Rattus norvegicus: one gene and its partner. The protein of the gene in region 2 purifies or fractionates together with the protein of the main gene of each other region. This does not show direct contact. Links are inferred from orthologs where the notes say so. Each region holds a gene or a part of one and is shown on either strand. Other genes may lie near its edges.

Evidence for each region. The genes of interacting proteins can lie anywhere in the genome.
Region 1: the proteins of Axin1 (region 2) and Dvl3 purify together in Homo sapiens (affinity purification with western blotting; 3 studies listed by BioGRID and IntAct, with this or other methods). This does not show direct contact. The link is inferred for Rattus norvegicus from reciprocal best matches to the Homo sapiens genes AXIN1 and DVL3.

Annotation. Positions count from the first base shown.
Region 1 is NC_086029.1:93,882,560-93,890,814, forward strand, and holds the start of Dvl3 (segment polarity protein dishevelled homolog DVL-3), read right to left. Parts: upstream 4,345-8,255; 5' UTR 4,214-4,344; coding exon 4,053-4,213; intron 1-4,052. UniProt on the Homo sapiens protein: Involved in the signal transduction pathway mediated by multiple Wnt genes.
Region 2 is NC_086028.1:15,668,604-15,676,758, reverse strand, and holds part of Axin1 (axin-1), read right to left. Parts: intron 4,860-8,155; 5' UTR 4,794-4,859; coding exon 3,901-4,793; intron 1-3,900. UniProt on the Homo sapiens protein: Component of the beta-catenin destruction complex required for regulating CTNNB1 levels through phosphorylation and ubiquitination, and modulating Wnt-signaling.

The DNA of each region.
Region 1 (8,255 bases), on a different chromosome or scaffold from region 2:
AGCAGTCAATGTTCTTAAGCCCTGAGCCAACTGTCCAGCCTGACAGTCACATCTTTAACTTACAAAGAAGCTGGTAGCCAAGTCTACCATCCTCCCTCCCAGCTCCTCATCCTACCGTCCTCCCTCCCAGCTCCCCGCTCTACCATTTCCAATGCCACAAGGACCCTGAGAAAACAGCTCAGGCCTGCAAGCCAATCTGTATGGTGTCCTGCATGGTAACCTGGCCTTAAGAGAAAAGAGGGTTTGTGTGACACACAGGACTCTCTGTCCTGCTTTGAAACATGTCTTGTGATGGGAAAGTGCTGCCGAGTCTTCCCATCTCCCTTAGCAGACCACACACAGACAGACACATACACACACACACACACACACACACACACACACACACACACACACACTCACACATACACATATTCACATGCACACATACACACACACATATACACACACTCACACATACACACACATATACACACATACACACACATACACACACATACACACCACGCACACATACACACTCACACACACATACACACTCACACACACATACACACACATACACACCATACACATACACACACATACACACTCACACACACATACACGCCATACACACACATACACACTCACACACATACACACTCACACACATACACACATACACACTCACACAAACATACACACCATACACACACACATACACACTCACACACACGTACACACACATACACACACCACACATACACACATACATACACACTCACACACATACATACACACACATACACACACACATACACACACACACACACATGCACACGCACACACACACTCCATACTACAGGTCGCCAATGCTCTACAAGTCTCTGCTCAATGATCACCTAGTCTTCAGTAGCCTTGGAGGAGCCTCAGATGTAACCTCCCACTGTAGGGCTTGGCCATCCGGGCTCCGTGGCAGTCTCACCAGAACTGTCTTCTCCTCTTTACTGAGTCAAATAAGCACATGCTCAACTCCCAAGTCTATTACGTTGAAGCTCTCCCACCTTAAAGATATCATTTAACTTAGCCAACCTTTGTCTCATCCTGGTAAATGCGATTCCTAGATGCCTGGTATGGTCCAGGAATATAATAAAAACTACTTACTGACTCTCCAACTTTCAGTAAGATTACACTCTCACATTAACTATGTCTTTTCTTTTAAAAGAACTTTATTACATTTTAGCATTCGTATGTGTGTGTGGTGTGTGTATGTGTGTATGCATGTGTACATATGTATGGAGGTCAGAGGACAACTTTCAGAAGTTGCTTTTTTCCCTTCCACTCTATGGGTCCTGAGGATAGACCAGGCTTGGTGGCCCATGGGTTTATGTACTAAGCCATGTCCCTGACGCTCCCAAGTAATTTAATAAAGCTAAGTGTATCCTGCACTTGACAAATATTTTTGGAGACCAGGTGAGAGTTGGGGAATCCTCAGGTTGAGGTGCAGCTTGCTTCCTCCTCTGACATGCTTTCTCTCTTGTCAACAGGGGTCACTGGCCTAGGCTGGCTGAGGTGCATGTTATGTCCCCAGTTTGCCAAGGCTTGCTATTCTCTGGAGAGAAAAGTCTATAATCTATGGCCATTTGCACAGTATTCCTCACTACTGTGACACACACACACACACACACTCTCTGACACCCATACACACAACACTCACTCACACACACATATACACACACTCATGCACACTCTCTGACACCCATACACACACATAAACACTCACACACTCATGCGCGCACACACACACACACACACACACACACACACACACACACACACACACATCTACAATGTGTGACCCAGACTTTAGATTTTGGAGTGAGAGTCCCCCATATCCAAACAAATTCTGTCATTTACTAGCTGTGTGATCTAGGGTCAGCTTTATTTAGGCCTTTAACATTCTAGCCTAATTTTCAAAGTGGGAAATTAGTGCCTATTTCATAGGCTGGTATGAGGACTCAAAGATGCAAGATGTACAAGTAATAATATATCACTATCAGGCAGACTGTATCATATGATGCACTTGTAAAATAAAAAATGAAATAAACTGTCAACAGGATCCTCTGCTGTCCTAACTTGAAAAGGATAGCCTTGCTGGGTCTTTTGCTCATTTATTCTTGGAGTTTGGGAGGAAGAAGCCAAATAATCACACCCACTTCATTCTTAGCATTGTTCTCAACCCTGATAGAACAGACAATGAATATTTTGCAAAGGGACCACAGGTAAATACAAAATGCTTCAAAGTGGCACATGATAAATGTTGCTTAGTTCAATAGTTGATTTAAAGAAAAATATTTCCCAACAGTGAGCAGATGCAATGGGAGCCCTCTTATAATTGTAGTTAGGTCTGCTCCCACGACAACCTCAGGAAAGCAGGAAGCAGCTCAGAGTGGTCTGCTTGGGAGGCAGAGGCAAGTGGGGGTGGAGATACAAGACTATTCTAATCCCTCAAGACATCTGGCCTAGCATATCCTGAAATATTATCCCAGCTCCTTCGAATAATAAGAAAGACCCTCTTCTTATTCCTCTCATGCCAGGTTGAGACACTCACCTCCTATCCTCAGTTCTTCCAGATACATCATTTTCAGGGTCTTTCAACCAGGTCTTCCTACTCTAAACTACAGCCAGACAATCATCACCACACACAAGAGTCTCATCCCAGGGCAAGAACAGATTTAGCAATAGTCAGATCAATTCTCCACTGTCCACACTCACACACACACACACACTCACACACACACACACACACACTCACACACACACACACTCACACACACATGCACACACACACACACTTTTAAGAGCTCATCAAATGTCGAGTTCCAGGGCAGAAAATGACAAATAGCCCAGAAGGAGACAGAAGGTGCTTGCCTCCTGGGGCTTGGAGGGCAGGGCTTAGGAGGGAAGCCAGACTAATGTACACTAGAGAGAATATCTCCCCTCACCCAGCTCTGGGGCCTCAGCTGCAAGCAGAGTGCAAGCCTCAGGCAAGTGCATCAGAGGGACCTTCAGGCCTTGGAGGGCCCAGAGAGGGGTGGGGTAGGGTGTGTGTGTGTGTGTATGTGTGTGTGTGTGTGTGTGTGTGTGTGTGTGTTTGCTCCATAGCCTATAAGTCCGCTGTCCAGTTAATGCAGGCAAGCCTCAGCCCCTTGGATAGGTGTGTGTGTGTGTGTGTGTGTGTGTGTGTGTGTCCCCTCTCAGGCCAGCTGCTACAGAACCCTCAGGCTCCAACATTCCAACCTCTCTTAAAGGGGCAGTCCCATCTTCCAAATTGCCCATCAAAAGCCCTGCAGCTGGGTAGGAAGGGGAAGACAAGAGAACACCAACAGGCCCTTCCAGGCTTTCCCATCCAGGCTCTGAAGCTCTATGTAGCATCTCCCCTGGGAACACCATCAGGAAAGAAAAGGCCCCAGCACCTGATTAGTGAAAACTCCTTCTCCGGGCCAGGCAACACCCCATCAGCCCAGGAGAGAGGAGAATCTACTCGACAAACATCAGGTCCAGCATCCAGCCTGGCAGAACAGCCCCCAATTCCTCCTTCTCCAGTTCCAAGTCCCACCAGCTACAGCCCTAGATAGAGCACACTCCAAATAAGGATCTGAGTTGCAGAGCTCAGAGGACTGGGAAGGCAGACCGAGTGTCAGTTTAACTCCAACTCTATGCTTAAAAGGTGGCACCTGGAAGGACTGAGAACTCTGGTTTTGGAGTGGAAAGGATGTATGTCTACGGCGGGCCGCTGGACCGTGGGGAGGTGAAGGGGCTTAAATGATAGGAACCAATTGCTTAGGGAGGGACGTCCCGCTGGGCTGGGGGGTGGGGTGGGGGAGGCAAGGCCTCCAAGAGATGACTGGGAGTCCCTCAAAGTCAAGAGGGTCCCAAGTCACCGAGTCGCTCCTTGCTGGAAGCGGGGTTAGAAACCAGTGCAGCGAGGGGAGTCGGAACTGGCCGCGTTGGCCCCTAGCAGCGGAGCGACCCGAGCTCCCGGGAGGCGGGGCGGGGGCCATCCTCACCCAAAATCGTCGTCCATAGACTTGAAGAAGAACTTATAGCTGGGCCGCTGCAAAACGCCCTTAAAGTCCGCCAAGGTGACGCGCTCGGCGGGCAGGGGCAGCTTCACTAGGTACGGCGTCTCCTGGCCGTCCAAGTGGTAGATGATCTTAGTCTCGCCCATGGCTCCGGCCTCGGCCCCGCGGCGTGCGGCCTGCTTGGGCAGCGGGGCCGGGCCTCTCCGACAGAGCTCGGCGCTCGGCGAGGCCCGCTGCTTAGCCCCGCTCAGCCGCCGGCCGGGGCGCCAGCTCCCTTGTTCTCCGGCCGCTCCCGGGTCCCAGCGCCGCCCGCCACCGCTTCCGCTCCCCACTCACAGCGCTCGGCTGGCGACCGCGACTCTTCCGGTGGCCTCGGCCCTCCCGGCTCTGGGCCGAGCCCAGCGCGGCTCCGCCCCGCCGCCGAGCGGCGCTGGCTGCTTGCCGCAGACTGCCCGCCCACCCGCGGGGCGGCGCTCGCTTCCTTGTGCTCCTGGATCAGGCTGCTGGACCTGGAAGTCTCACCCCGGTGGGCCCAGGGGAACGGTGGGCCGGCTCCCTGGCTGGAGGGGAGGGATGGAAGATAAGTGTCACCTACTGCGGAAGAAAATAGATTTGAAGACCTAACTGGTTCCCTGGAGGGGGGTCGCTTCGACTCGGATCTCTGGATTTTGCTGACAGCACAGTTGCTGTGACCGGACTGTACTGAGTTCCTTGAGGGCTGAGCAAGTTTAAATTTTTATCCCTGTAATCTCAGCGTCTCTATGAGCAAGTAGTTTGAGTAATGGATTGGCGGGTGTGGTGGTGCTTGCCTTTAATCCCGGCACTCGGGAACGAGAGGCGGGTGGCTTTTTGTGAGTTCAAGCCAAGCCTGGCCTACAGAGAGCTCAAGACCCCAGCAGGACTAGGTAGAAAAGTCCTGTCTCTCTCTCTAAAAAAAGAAAAAAGAAAGAAAAAGAAAAGAAAAAATGCGAGCTAAGAAAAAGAGCAAGCAGTCAGGTGTGGTAGCAAATGACTTTAGTCTGAACACTGGGGAGGCAGGCAGATCTTTGAGTTGGAGGCCAGCCAGTCTACAGAGCGAGTTCCAGGACTGCCAGGGCTACACAGACAAACTCTGTCTCAACTCCCACCCTGATCCCCAAGTAAAAAAAAAAAAACAAAAACAAAAAACAGAAAGCGTAGACATACATGATCGATGATTGGGACAGTAGATGTTAAAAACTAGGTATAGTCAGTCAGTTGGTGGTTCAGCTTCTCAGCTGTAACAATGTATGTCAGGAGTGGCTTCAAAACTCCTGGCAATTCTCCTGCCTCAGGCTTCTGAGTTCTGGGATTACATCCCTGCATTTCAGGACCCATTTTAATCACCTCTTCTGCTCAGAAACCTTCACATTACCCAATATGCCTTTCATATACCCTCAACATGATACACGAGGTCCTTTATAATCTGACACCTACTTCTCTAGACTTCTTGTTACTTCAAAACCAAATTTTTATTATAGGCAGAAAGCAATCAGTAGTAGTTATATCTTTTCAGTTTATATCCTTCATTTATCTTTTTCTCCAAGTAATGTCTGTGCATAACTAAAATGCATTAAGACTTTTCAAGGTTTATTTTTACCCGTGCAGATTTTGGGTATCTGAGGTGATCGGAGGAGGATGTCAGTCCCTTGGAATTAGAGTCACAGGAAGCTGTGATCCACCTGCCGAGATGGTGGAAACTGAACTCAGGGCCTCTGTAAGAACATCAAGCCCTCTTAAATGTTGAGCTGTTTCTACAACCTTAATATTAAAAAGTAAAGAGTCCAGGATGACCTTGAACTTTCTACTCTCCTGCCTCTGTACTCCTGGAGCAGCTGGGGTTAAAGTCATGTGATGCCTGCCTTATTTCTTGATTTACACATTCTAGACATTGCTATTGACTTTCCACTTTTACTTTCTTAAAATATTGAAACCGGACTGGAGAGATGGCTCAGTGGTTAAGAGCACTGTCTGCTCTTCCAGAGGTCCTGAGTTCAAATCCCAGCAACCACATGGTGGCTCACAACCATCTGTAATGAGATCAGATGCCCTCTTCTGGTGTGTCTGAAGACAGCTGTAGTGTGCTCACATACATTAAATGAATAGATATATAAAATATATTAAAATATTGAAACCATGCTTGTTAAATAGAGTACTTAATATCGACAGCATTTTAACTATCAGTCAATGTATACTGCTAAAGTTGTTATATTACTTGCTTCTTTTACTGTTCTTTGGTTGTTTTTATTTTTTAAAAATGTAAGCACCAATGATTCTTTGCAAACATTCCAGTGGTTTTTCAGGACACATTTTGTTCATCCAGTCCAACCTATGAGGTAGTCCAGCTTTGCCTGTTCCTGGAACTTCCCTTCGTTTGCTCCGGTGAACACTGCTTGCTGTCTCTATCAATCCAGCTGTCACCCAGGACTTCTCTGCATCCCCAGAATTTTCTTTACTTCTCCACCAAGCTGGACCTGTTTTCTTGAATACTTTATTCTTAGTTTAGTAAGGCGTATTGCATCCTTTGACAGGTCTCTTTGAAAGCAAGAATGAAAAAGATGGTTTTGGTTCTGGTTTTCTGAGACAGAGTCTGTGGCTGACAATACAAGACGCTCAGGCTGGTCTTAAACTGGAAGTCCTGCCACCACACCTAGGAAGGAATTTGTTTGTTTGTTTGTTTGTTTGTTTGTTTATTGGATCTGTGGATGCGGGCATGATTTCTGCTGCTAAGGCCCAGGTTGTGTTTGAGTTGTATGTCTAGAATATGACTGAGGTTGAGGTTGGGGCAGTGGCCTGACAGCCTGAGCTTGATCCTCAGGATCCACATGGTGGAAGGAGACCTCCTGCAAGACCTCTATAGGCATGCTGGCGCTTGTGTATTCCCTAACACTTACACACACACACACACACACACACACACACACACACACACACACACACACATTGGAAAAAATAAAATTGAAAATAATTTTCCTTCAGGAATTTGAAGATATTTGTTGTTGTTTATTTTTTTAAACAAAAATCACAATTGTTCAATTTTACCAGTGAAGACTTGGGAGCCAGATACTAAGGCAAAAGCCTACTAGCTCAGAGAGGCAGAGAAAGCGCACAGCTGACCTTCTTCCTCGGCTGACATCCTAGAAGTAATGCCCCTCTCATGAAGTCTCAAGCTTTCAAACTGCATGTCCCTCACCTTCTACTTTCTATGTGTCTCTCTATCCATAATAATCCTATGTTCACTTCCTCTGGATTGACTTTGTATCCTTTTCACCATTATTAATTTCATTTTTTGACAATTTCACTTTATTATAAGATTTCCTATATTACAACCTTTCTAGCTATTCACTTATCCAATATTTCAGATTTTACCTATCCAATACATTGTTATTTATGCATGTTCGGAGAGAATAAAACAAGTATACTTCAGAAACTCGTTATATTCCAACTCTCTCCCTTTATGACAGTTGTCCTACTAGGACAGTGGTCCTATAATTTTTCTGATGTCAAAGGCCATTGTTCCACCCACACAGGTTTGTCAATTAGTCATTTTAAAGGTAAGGCGGTTGGTACCTTTGAAAGACCAACAGCTATTATGTCCTGCTTATGGACAACCTAAATGGTCTGTGACTGTTCTTGAAAATGTCTTTTAATATATTTTTAGAAGCATTATTAATTTTATGGTTTGTTTCTGAGATTGGAGGAATGTTAATCTGTTTTCCATTGCTGCAACAAGTCATATCCCCTATAAATTTATGGCTATTTTAGCCACATATGACTTTAATTTTCCTATCTGTCTACTGGTCCTATACACTTGACCCATCTTGAACTTTGTTTTACCGGAGATAAATACTTAGATGAATACTTAGCTCCTGAAGAGGCCAATGTGGATCCCAAGATTTTGGTGAAGTGACTGTTCCATCTGTCCCTCTAGTCAACTAAACCTTGGTCTCTGGTCATTTATAGCAGTTTGCTAAAATACTTATTTTCTGGTCTGGTGCCCTGAATTTCTTGTTTTAGCTACAGAAGCTATTCTGTCCTTGATTTTATCCAGAGCCGTGTTCTTTCTAACAACAGACATTAAATCTTTGGATTGCTCTGTGAATGAGTTTCTCCAAAGCTGACAGGGAATGACTCAATTAACTTTGATATTGGGGCCTATGGGGGGTGGGT
Region 2 (8,155 bases):
TATCTTTTCCCAATTCCTATCAGCCCCAATCTTCTTTTAGAGGACCCTCCCCCATTACCTGTACCACTACTGGGGAACAGTCATGCTGTCTGGGTAAAGTTCCCCACTTTCCTTACTGGATGGCCCTACTTGGCTTAAGTGTAACAGCACATCATCAGGCTCTAAGTCTGTGGATCTCAATCATCCTAACCTGCAACCTCATGCTGTATTGGCTCCAACCGTAAAATTATATTTGCTGCTCCTTCATAACTGTAATCTTGCTACTCTTATGAATCATAATGCAAATAGCTGTATTTTTCAATGGTCTTAGGTGACCCCTATGAAGAGGTCACTTGACAACCCCCAAAGGGGTCACGACCCACAAGTTCAGAATGCTCTAAGCATTCAAGGACTGGCAGGACATAGCAGCAAAATTGTTCCCTACTATGAGCCAGTAAAGAGCCTTCCTTCACTGGTGTGGGAAAGTCTTGTAATTAAGGGTAGTTAAGAGCATATGTTCACAGAGGTAGCCACCTCCACAAGGGACCCCAAGTGGGTTGTCAAAAAAAAAGCAGGTTCATTAAACTATAAAGAAAAGTGCTAGTCAGATGTGGCACACGAACTTTAGTCCTGGTAATCATGAGGCAAAAGAAGAAGAGGAATCTCTGAGGGTTTGAGACCTGCCTGGTCTACAAAGAGTACTAAATTTGCCAGAGCTAAATAGTGAGACCCTGTCTCAAAAACAAAAAAGGAAGAGGAAGAGGAGGAAGAGGAGGAGGAAGAGGAGGAAGAGGAGGAAGAAGAAAAAGAAAAGTGTTGAATTTCTGATCAAAGCACATGAAACACTAGCCAACTAAGTCAAAAATTAATCCCAGTAGACTGGATTTTCTTTTTTTTTCTTTTTTTCTTTCTTTTTTTTTTTGGAGTTGGGGACCGAACCCAGGGCCTTGCACTTGCTAGGCAAGCGCTCTACCGCTGAGCTAAATCCCCAACCCCCTAGACTGGATTTTCTTATTCCCAATCTAGTGCTTCCTAATTACAGCCCACTGCATGAAACGCAGAATGTATTCAAATATGAAAGTTGGTGGGCGGGTGTAAATTACTGGTAAGCACTTGCCTCTAATGCATGAGGTCTTAAATAAAATCACTAACATTGAAAACAAAAACATGAAAAAATACCAACAAAAGACATGTTGGAAATGAGGTGTGATGGAACCTGCCTGTAACCTCAGCACAGAAGCAATTCAAGGTCATCCTCAGCTATACAGCACATTAAAGGGCTCTAAAAGACTTTGTTTCAAAAACTGAACATACTGAGAATGTAGTTCAATTGGTCACATGTCTGTCAACATCCACTGCTTCCAGTTTAATCTTCAGCACTGCGTAAACTGTTGGCACATGCCTGTGCCCAGGATTCTAGAGGTTGAGGCAGGAGAAGCTCAAGTCATTCTCAGTTACATAGGGAATTTTTGAGGCCTACCTGGGATGAATAAGAACTTGTCTCCAAAACAAAACAAATTGTCCTTTAAAATCTTGCTAAGTAAATATCACTTGGCTAATGACAATGAATAAAAACAGTACATATTGAACTGTGTCTCTTGAACTAAAGAAGTGTTAATTCTGTGGCTTTGTAAAAGTGACCAATTTTAATTTCTTTGTGTTCATAGTAAACTTAAAGAACAGCCATGGTCTGTGTCCATGTACAAACTGCCCCCAACACCCCAGGACTTCTTGTGTAGCCCTGGCTGTCCTGCAACTAGCTCAGTAAACTCAGAGATCCCCCTGCCTCTGCTTCCCTGAGAGTTAGGATTAAAAGTGTGTGCCAACACATCTGACTACTGCTTTTCTTCAGAATTCAATGAACCTCCTTTCTTGAGAACCCACTTGACTTAATCCCTGAGCCACCACACCCAGCTCAGTCCTGGTTCTAAACAACAATTACCTCAACATCTGGAAATGGTTTTCAGGTTGGGAACAATAGTAAATTCGGTATCTAATCATCAGTTCTAGGGAAATAAGCAAAAAAACGCAAACTCTGCTCATAAGTGCAGTAAGTACCAATCCAGCCAATCCAGCCTCCTGTAACCACAATGATTCTGAATTTAAAAAACAGCAACGCTTGGTCTGATAAGACAGTTCAGCAGGGAAAGGGGTCTGTCACCAAGCCTAATGACCACATTCAATCCACAGAACTCACAGGATTAAAAATGCCCCCTATAAGGAGTTTCTCTTACCACATATTAGCCACCTGAGCCTGAAGTCAGTGCCTCCCCCATCCACATATAAGGTGGATGGACACACACACACACCACACACACGCACCACAAATAAGTGTAAAAATACCTTTTTTTTTATAGAGAAAGGTGAAGAAACAAGTTTCAAAGCTATGCTCTCTTCTGGAGAGCACCATCATGCTGCTCAAGTTGCATACATCAGAACACACAATCAGAACTCCCTTCAGCAGATCACGCCATGGAGGGAAAAGGTCCAATTCTAGAAATCCAAGCACAGCCATCAGGAGTTTCTGAACCCTCCAACAACTGTCTACACAGACTAAACTGCCCCACTACTGTCTCATCCTCCAGAAAGAATCCAAAGTACTGACTAAAAAATTAGCAAGATGTGGAAGGGAGTGGAATGATGGGTTAAAAGTTAAAAGTATGGGGGTTGGGGATTTAGCTCAGTGGTAGAGCACTTGCCTAGCAAGCGCAAGGCCCTGAGTTCGGTCCCCAGCTCTGAAAAAAAAAAAAAAAAGAAAGAAAAAGAAAAGTTAAAAGTATTTGTTGTTCTTATAGAGGGCATGAGTTGATTACCAGCACCTATGTGGTGGCTCACAACCATCTGTTAACTCCAGTCTCAGGGGATCTGGCACCCCCTTCTGGGCAGCAGGCACATACATGGTGCACATACATATGCACATACATACATACAAAACACTCATCCCCATAAAAAAACTAAATGAATCTAAAATAAAAATAAAGTAATTATAATTGTCTATGTATTTGAATGTATTTCCCTCTCATTATTAAGGGTTAAGATCCTTCTATGCAAGAAGACATGAATTTTGTGCTAAATGGTAAAGTTTAAACATTATGACTTCTGGGTTAGAGAGATAGCTCAGTGGTTAAGAGCACTGATTGCGGGGTTGGGGATTTAGCTCAGTGGTAGAGCGCTTGCCTAGGAAGCGCAAGGCCCTGGGTTCGGTCCCCAGCTCCGAAAAAAAAAAAAAAAGAACCCAAAAAAAAAAAAAAAAAAAGAGCACTGATTGCTCTTCCAGAGGTTCTGAGTTCAAATCCCAGCAACCACATGGTGACTCACAACCATCTGTAATGGGATCTGATGCCCTTTTCTGGTATGTTTGAAGATAACTACAGTGTACTTATATATAATGAATAAATAAATCTTTAAAAAAAAAAACAAACCAAACCATTATAGCTTCTAAGAATTCTCACGCTTCTAATAATTCACAAGCCATATGCTTATAATTCACAAAGCCCTATATTTAGTAGTACACGTGTTACTAAAGAGGGAACTCAAAGAGTTTCCTCCATGCTATGCAAGAACTCTCCTAAGCCTTTACTCTTTTTCATTTTGAATCTCTACAAGTTGCCCAGAATGACACACAATTTTTCGATTCTCCTACCTCAGCTTCCCAAGTAGGTGGGATTACACCTGGCAAGTCTTGTTTGTTGCGTTCTCAATGCCACAAAATATAAGAAGGTATCTAATAACAAGTATGAAGTATCTAAGTAGGAAATAAAACTATAATTCAGCAGCAGCAGCAGCAGCAGCAGCAGCAGCAGCAGCAGAGATCTCAGCTGGGGTTAAAAACAAGGCCACCTGTTACCAACACCTTTCCCTCGCTCCTTTGCCAGGTCTCTGAGCTGTGTAGAGAAAATGGACACCCTGTGCCGAACTCACCTGAGCTCTCTGCCTTCGTTGTACCGTCTACTTGAGGGGGCCCTCGGGGCAGCAGTCTCCAATAGCAGCTTCTGGGTGAGCCTGCTGGGGGGGACAGAGTCTCGGCCATCATCCTCATCTGCATCTTGGTCACATTTCCATTCTTCATCTTCATTCAAAGTGGGCAAGTATCCAGACATGCCCTTCCCTGTCCCGGACCCTGAGCTCTGGTCACTGCAGACCTTTGGACTTTCTGAGCCTGTCCTTGTGTACTCCAAATAAATGTCAGACTTAAGGAAGGAAGGGTAGGTGTTCTCCTCCATGGTGGACTGGATTTCTGTCTGTGCCTGGTCAAACATGGCAGGATCGATCTGCTGCTTCATGACGCAGTCCTTTATGAAGCTCTTAGTGGCTGGCTTGGTTTGTCTGGACACAATGCCATTGCTATCCAGGATGTACTTTCGGTAGATGGCTCTTGCCAGCTTCAGCCTCTTTTCCTCATTTGAGTCACAAGGCTCAAGCTTTCTGAAGCCACTGCAGGCAAACCAGAAGTCCAGCAGGTCAGCACAGCCCTCCTGCTTCAGGAAAGTCCTGAACAGGCTGATCCCATCTTGGTCATCCAGTAAGGAATGCAGTGACTCAGCCCACCTCAAGTATGGTGGGGTGGGGGAGGCACTGCCCTCAGGCTCATATCCCAGATCCAGATCTGAACGTCTTGGGGTGGCTGTTGAGGTCTCACTTTTAATGCTGGTACCTTTCCCAGAGCAGAAACTGTGGTTGACAGGCCTCGAATCAGTGGATACCAGTTCTCCCTCTTCTCCAGGCACTGGGGGCCGGGGGGCATCTTCGGTGAAACTTGCTCCGAGGTCCAAGGGGAAACCCTGCTCCTGGACATTCATTTTGGGACTCTGCATCAGTGAACAATGAGCGCTGCACCCTAATACCTCAGTACTTACAGCTCCCAAGGGAATCAATCTCTCCTGTTAAAACCATTAAGAGGACAAGGATTAGGAAAGGTGGTCCATGGAAACACCAGAGGTTCTCTTGAGATGTGCAGGGATGCCCTCCCACTCCCACTTGGAGCAGAGACTCAGTGCAGACTTCTAGCAGAGACATATTTTGGCCACAATTTTTGCTCTATCATTAAGGCAATTTCTGGAACTTTTACAAGACTGCCTCTCACACTAAGTGAAAGTCTGGATCATGGGGGACATCTCTCCTTCAAAGGATGCCTTCAGTGGTAAGGCCTGAAGATCACCCATCCTGGCTAAAGAAATGAATGTCAAGAGGACAAGAAAGCTAGAAAAAGGTGCCTCTGTCCCCAGTCACCAGCATCACATCAGTCAGTTGGTCCCTCATCCATGAAGACAATCACCACACTTGCCCTAGTGACACTCAGAAACAAAGAAGAGGCACACTACAGATCCTCAGGTAGACAGGCATAGGGCAAGTTTAACAGAGTCTCTATTTTCTGTCTATTCTATTATTTTTCATACTTGGCATGCCTTATGAGCAACCACACAGCAAGATGTCCTTCCAGCTCTCAACAAGTAAGAGATCAAGTGATCATAGGCTGGCTACCTTGCACACCTTGGACCAGTGATGGAAGAACACAGTCCACACTCAGAGGCATCTATGCATTGTCTACACAGACAACTTTAGAGATTCAGAAAGCTGTACTTGGCTGCTAATTTCTCTCTTACAAGAAGATTCCCTTCTGATAGCATATGGTGACTTTGGAAAGACAGAAAAGGTACAGAAAAAAAAAATCAGTTACAAATACAAGTATGCTTTTTCAATAAAGAAGCATACAAGAAATGTGATTTAGCTCCGCCAAATGAAAACTGTACCACCTATACCTTTGTTGCCGTGTGGGGTGTGCAAAAGGGAGCAAATTTGTTCAAATTTGGATTGGACCCTGCTATGATCTCTGGTCCTTTCTGCTACATCTGATATATCTCAACATATCCAAAGGGGAGACAGCAACAAAGCCCCAATTGGTCCCAGCTAAAGTGAGCTAGAGAGGCATATGTCAGGGTCAGGTAACCGGAACAAAATGAATCCTAAAAACAAAAGACAGGCATCATGGTTCATGCTTGTACTCTCAGCACTCAGGAGACTGAGGCAAGAAGACGATCATCCTGAGTCAAGGCAAGCCTGGGTTATAAAATGAGGACCCGTCTCAATAAATAAATAAACCCAGTGTATTGACACAAATCTATCATCTCAGCACTTGAAAAAATGAGGGAGAATTCAAGGCTCGATCGAGAGTTCAGGGTCAGCCAGATGGTGGGTGGTCCCTGAACTTGGGAGGTTAAGAGACGTGAATCTCTGAGTTCAAGGCCCACCTGGTCTACAGAGCAGCCAGAGTTCCAGAACAGCCAGGACTATAGAGAGAAACCTTGTCTCAAAAATAAAACAAATCAAAGAGTTCAAGGTCATGGGCTGGGGATGTAGCTCAGATGGCAGAGTGTTGCCTAGCAAGCTTGAGGCCTGGGCTTCATCCCCAGATCCCCAATACTGCAAAAAATGAGTGTGTGGAGGTAGAGGCAGAAGGATGAGGAATTCAAGGTTATTCTTGGCTACATCAGAGTTGGAGGGCAGTCTGGGGTACAAGAGACAACAAAAACAAAAAACATGATACACATCAACAACCAAAAAGGGAGATGCTGTCCTTGGTCACCATTCTACAGTGCTGAGCCCTGACTTCCATGAAATCCATCTTTTGTTCATTCTCACACAATACACACTTTACCTGCTAACGATGCTGATGACTAGATTACTAATGGCTAGAAGGAAGAGGCATGTACAAATAAAAGATGGGTCACAATTATGATATTTCTGCAACTAATGACTTCTTAGGTAAGCTATAATCTCAGCCTCAGCAGGATCAGCCTGTTTCTTAAGGTCACAGCCGATGACTGTGGTCTCCTGCTGCTCACAGACCTCCTATACCTCTCCTTAACTTAGTCACTTTCTGGGAGTTCTGTCTACATGTGGTAAGCATCTTGGACATCTGAAACACCACAGCAGCCCATCATGTCTCCTTGCTCTTATCTAAGATATCATCATAGGAAAGAGGGGCCTGCACTCCTGCACCTGTCCCTGAACATCAACATTCCCACAAATTACTAACATTAAAACAGCCCAATTTCCAATAATCCCTGGGCTCCCACAGAGGACACCTAACAGGTAAGGTACACAGAAATACCACACAAAAAGCAGCTATGATAATTCAATAAGTCTAAAACCCATAGTACCAAATCCAGCCTCAAACCTGCAACCAACACTTATAAAGTAACTCCATAAAGGTAATATACAAGTCTGACACACACACACACACACACACACACACACACACAGAGTATAAGCTTATGATTTAGGTTGAATGTGAAAATAATATGACTAGCATTTTACTAATGAGCCATTGATTAAATTCTTGAAAGGTCAGGGTTCTCATTTCATATCTAATCCAGTCACCCATCAAATAAAGTCCTTTTTTTTGGGGGGGGGGGGAGCTGAGGACCGAGCCCAGAGCCTTGCGCTTGCTAGGCAAGAGCTCTACCACTAAGCTAAATACCCAACCCCTTCAAATAAAGTCTTAACGGACAATAAAACCCACTTTGTTTCTCCAAAAGATGTAGCACAAGTCAATACTGCTGAAAAATCAAACAGAATCCCTGTGCTTCATATACTTTCTTGATCCTGAAGTGAAGCTCTAAAACTGAAATCAGCCAGTACTGCCTCTCTCAGGTAAAGTCAGACTCCCATGTTCTCCAAACTGGCTGTGAGTAAATGGACTTGTCAGAGTAAAAGGGAAAAATGCACACGTTTATCTTGAAGATGAGCTGAGAAAAATCCTTAGGTTTTTTTTTTTTCTTTCTACTTTCTTTATGCCCAACTAAAAATGTGCACTTTGGGTTTCGGTTGGGAGGGGGGTATTTTGTTTTGGGGGAGCATAAGTAAGGCAATGGACACCAGAACAAGTGGGTATTTGGCCAGTCAAACCACACCATAGAGTGCCCTCCTTGGATTGTTCTTACTTGACCCTACTTTACTTTTTCATAGGGATTAGGATGATGTGAAGGAAGGACACACACACCCAGTTCGGAGGACACAAACATAGTCTACCACCAGCAGCTCCTCAACACCAACTCACCCACATCCTAAACGAGTCCCCGGCCCATGAACAAGTATACCACGCTCAGCAGACACACACCTAACTGTAGACCATTCTTAGAATCCTTGGTTTTCCGTACTCCCTTGTCCTGTTCAC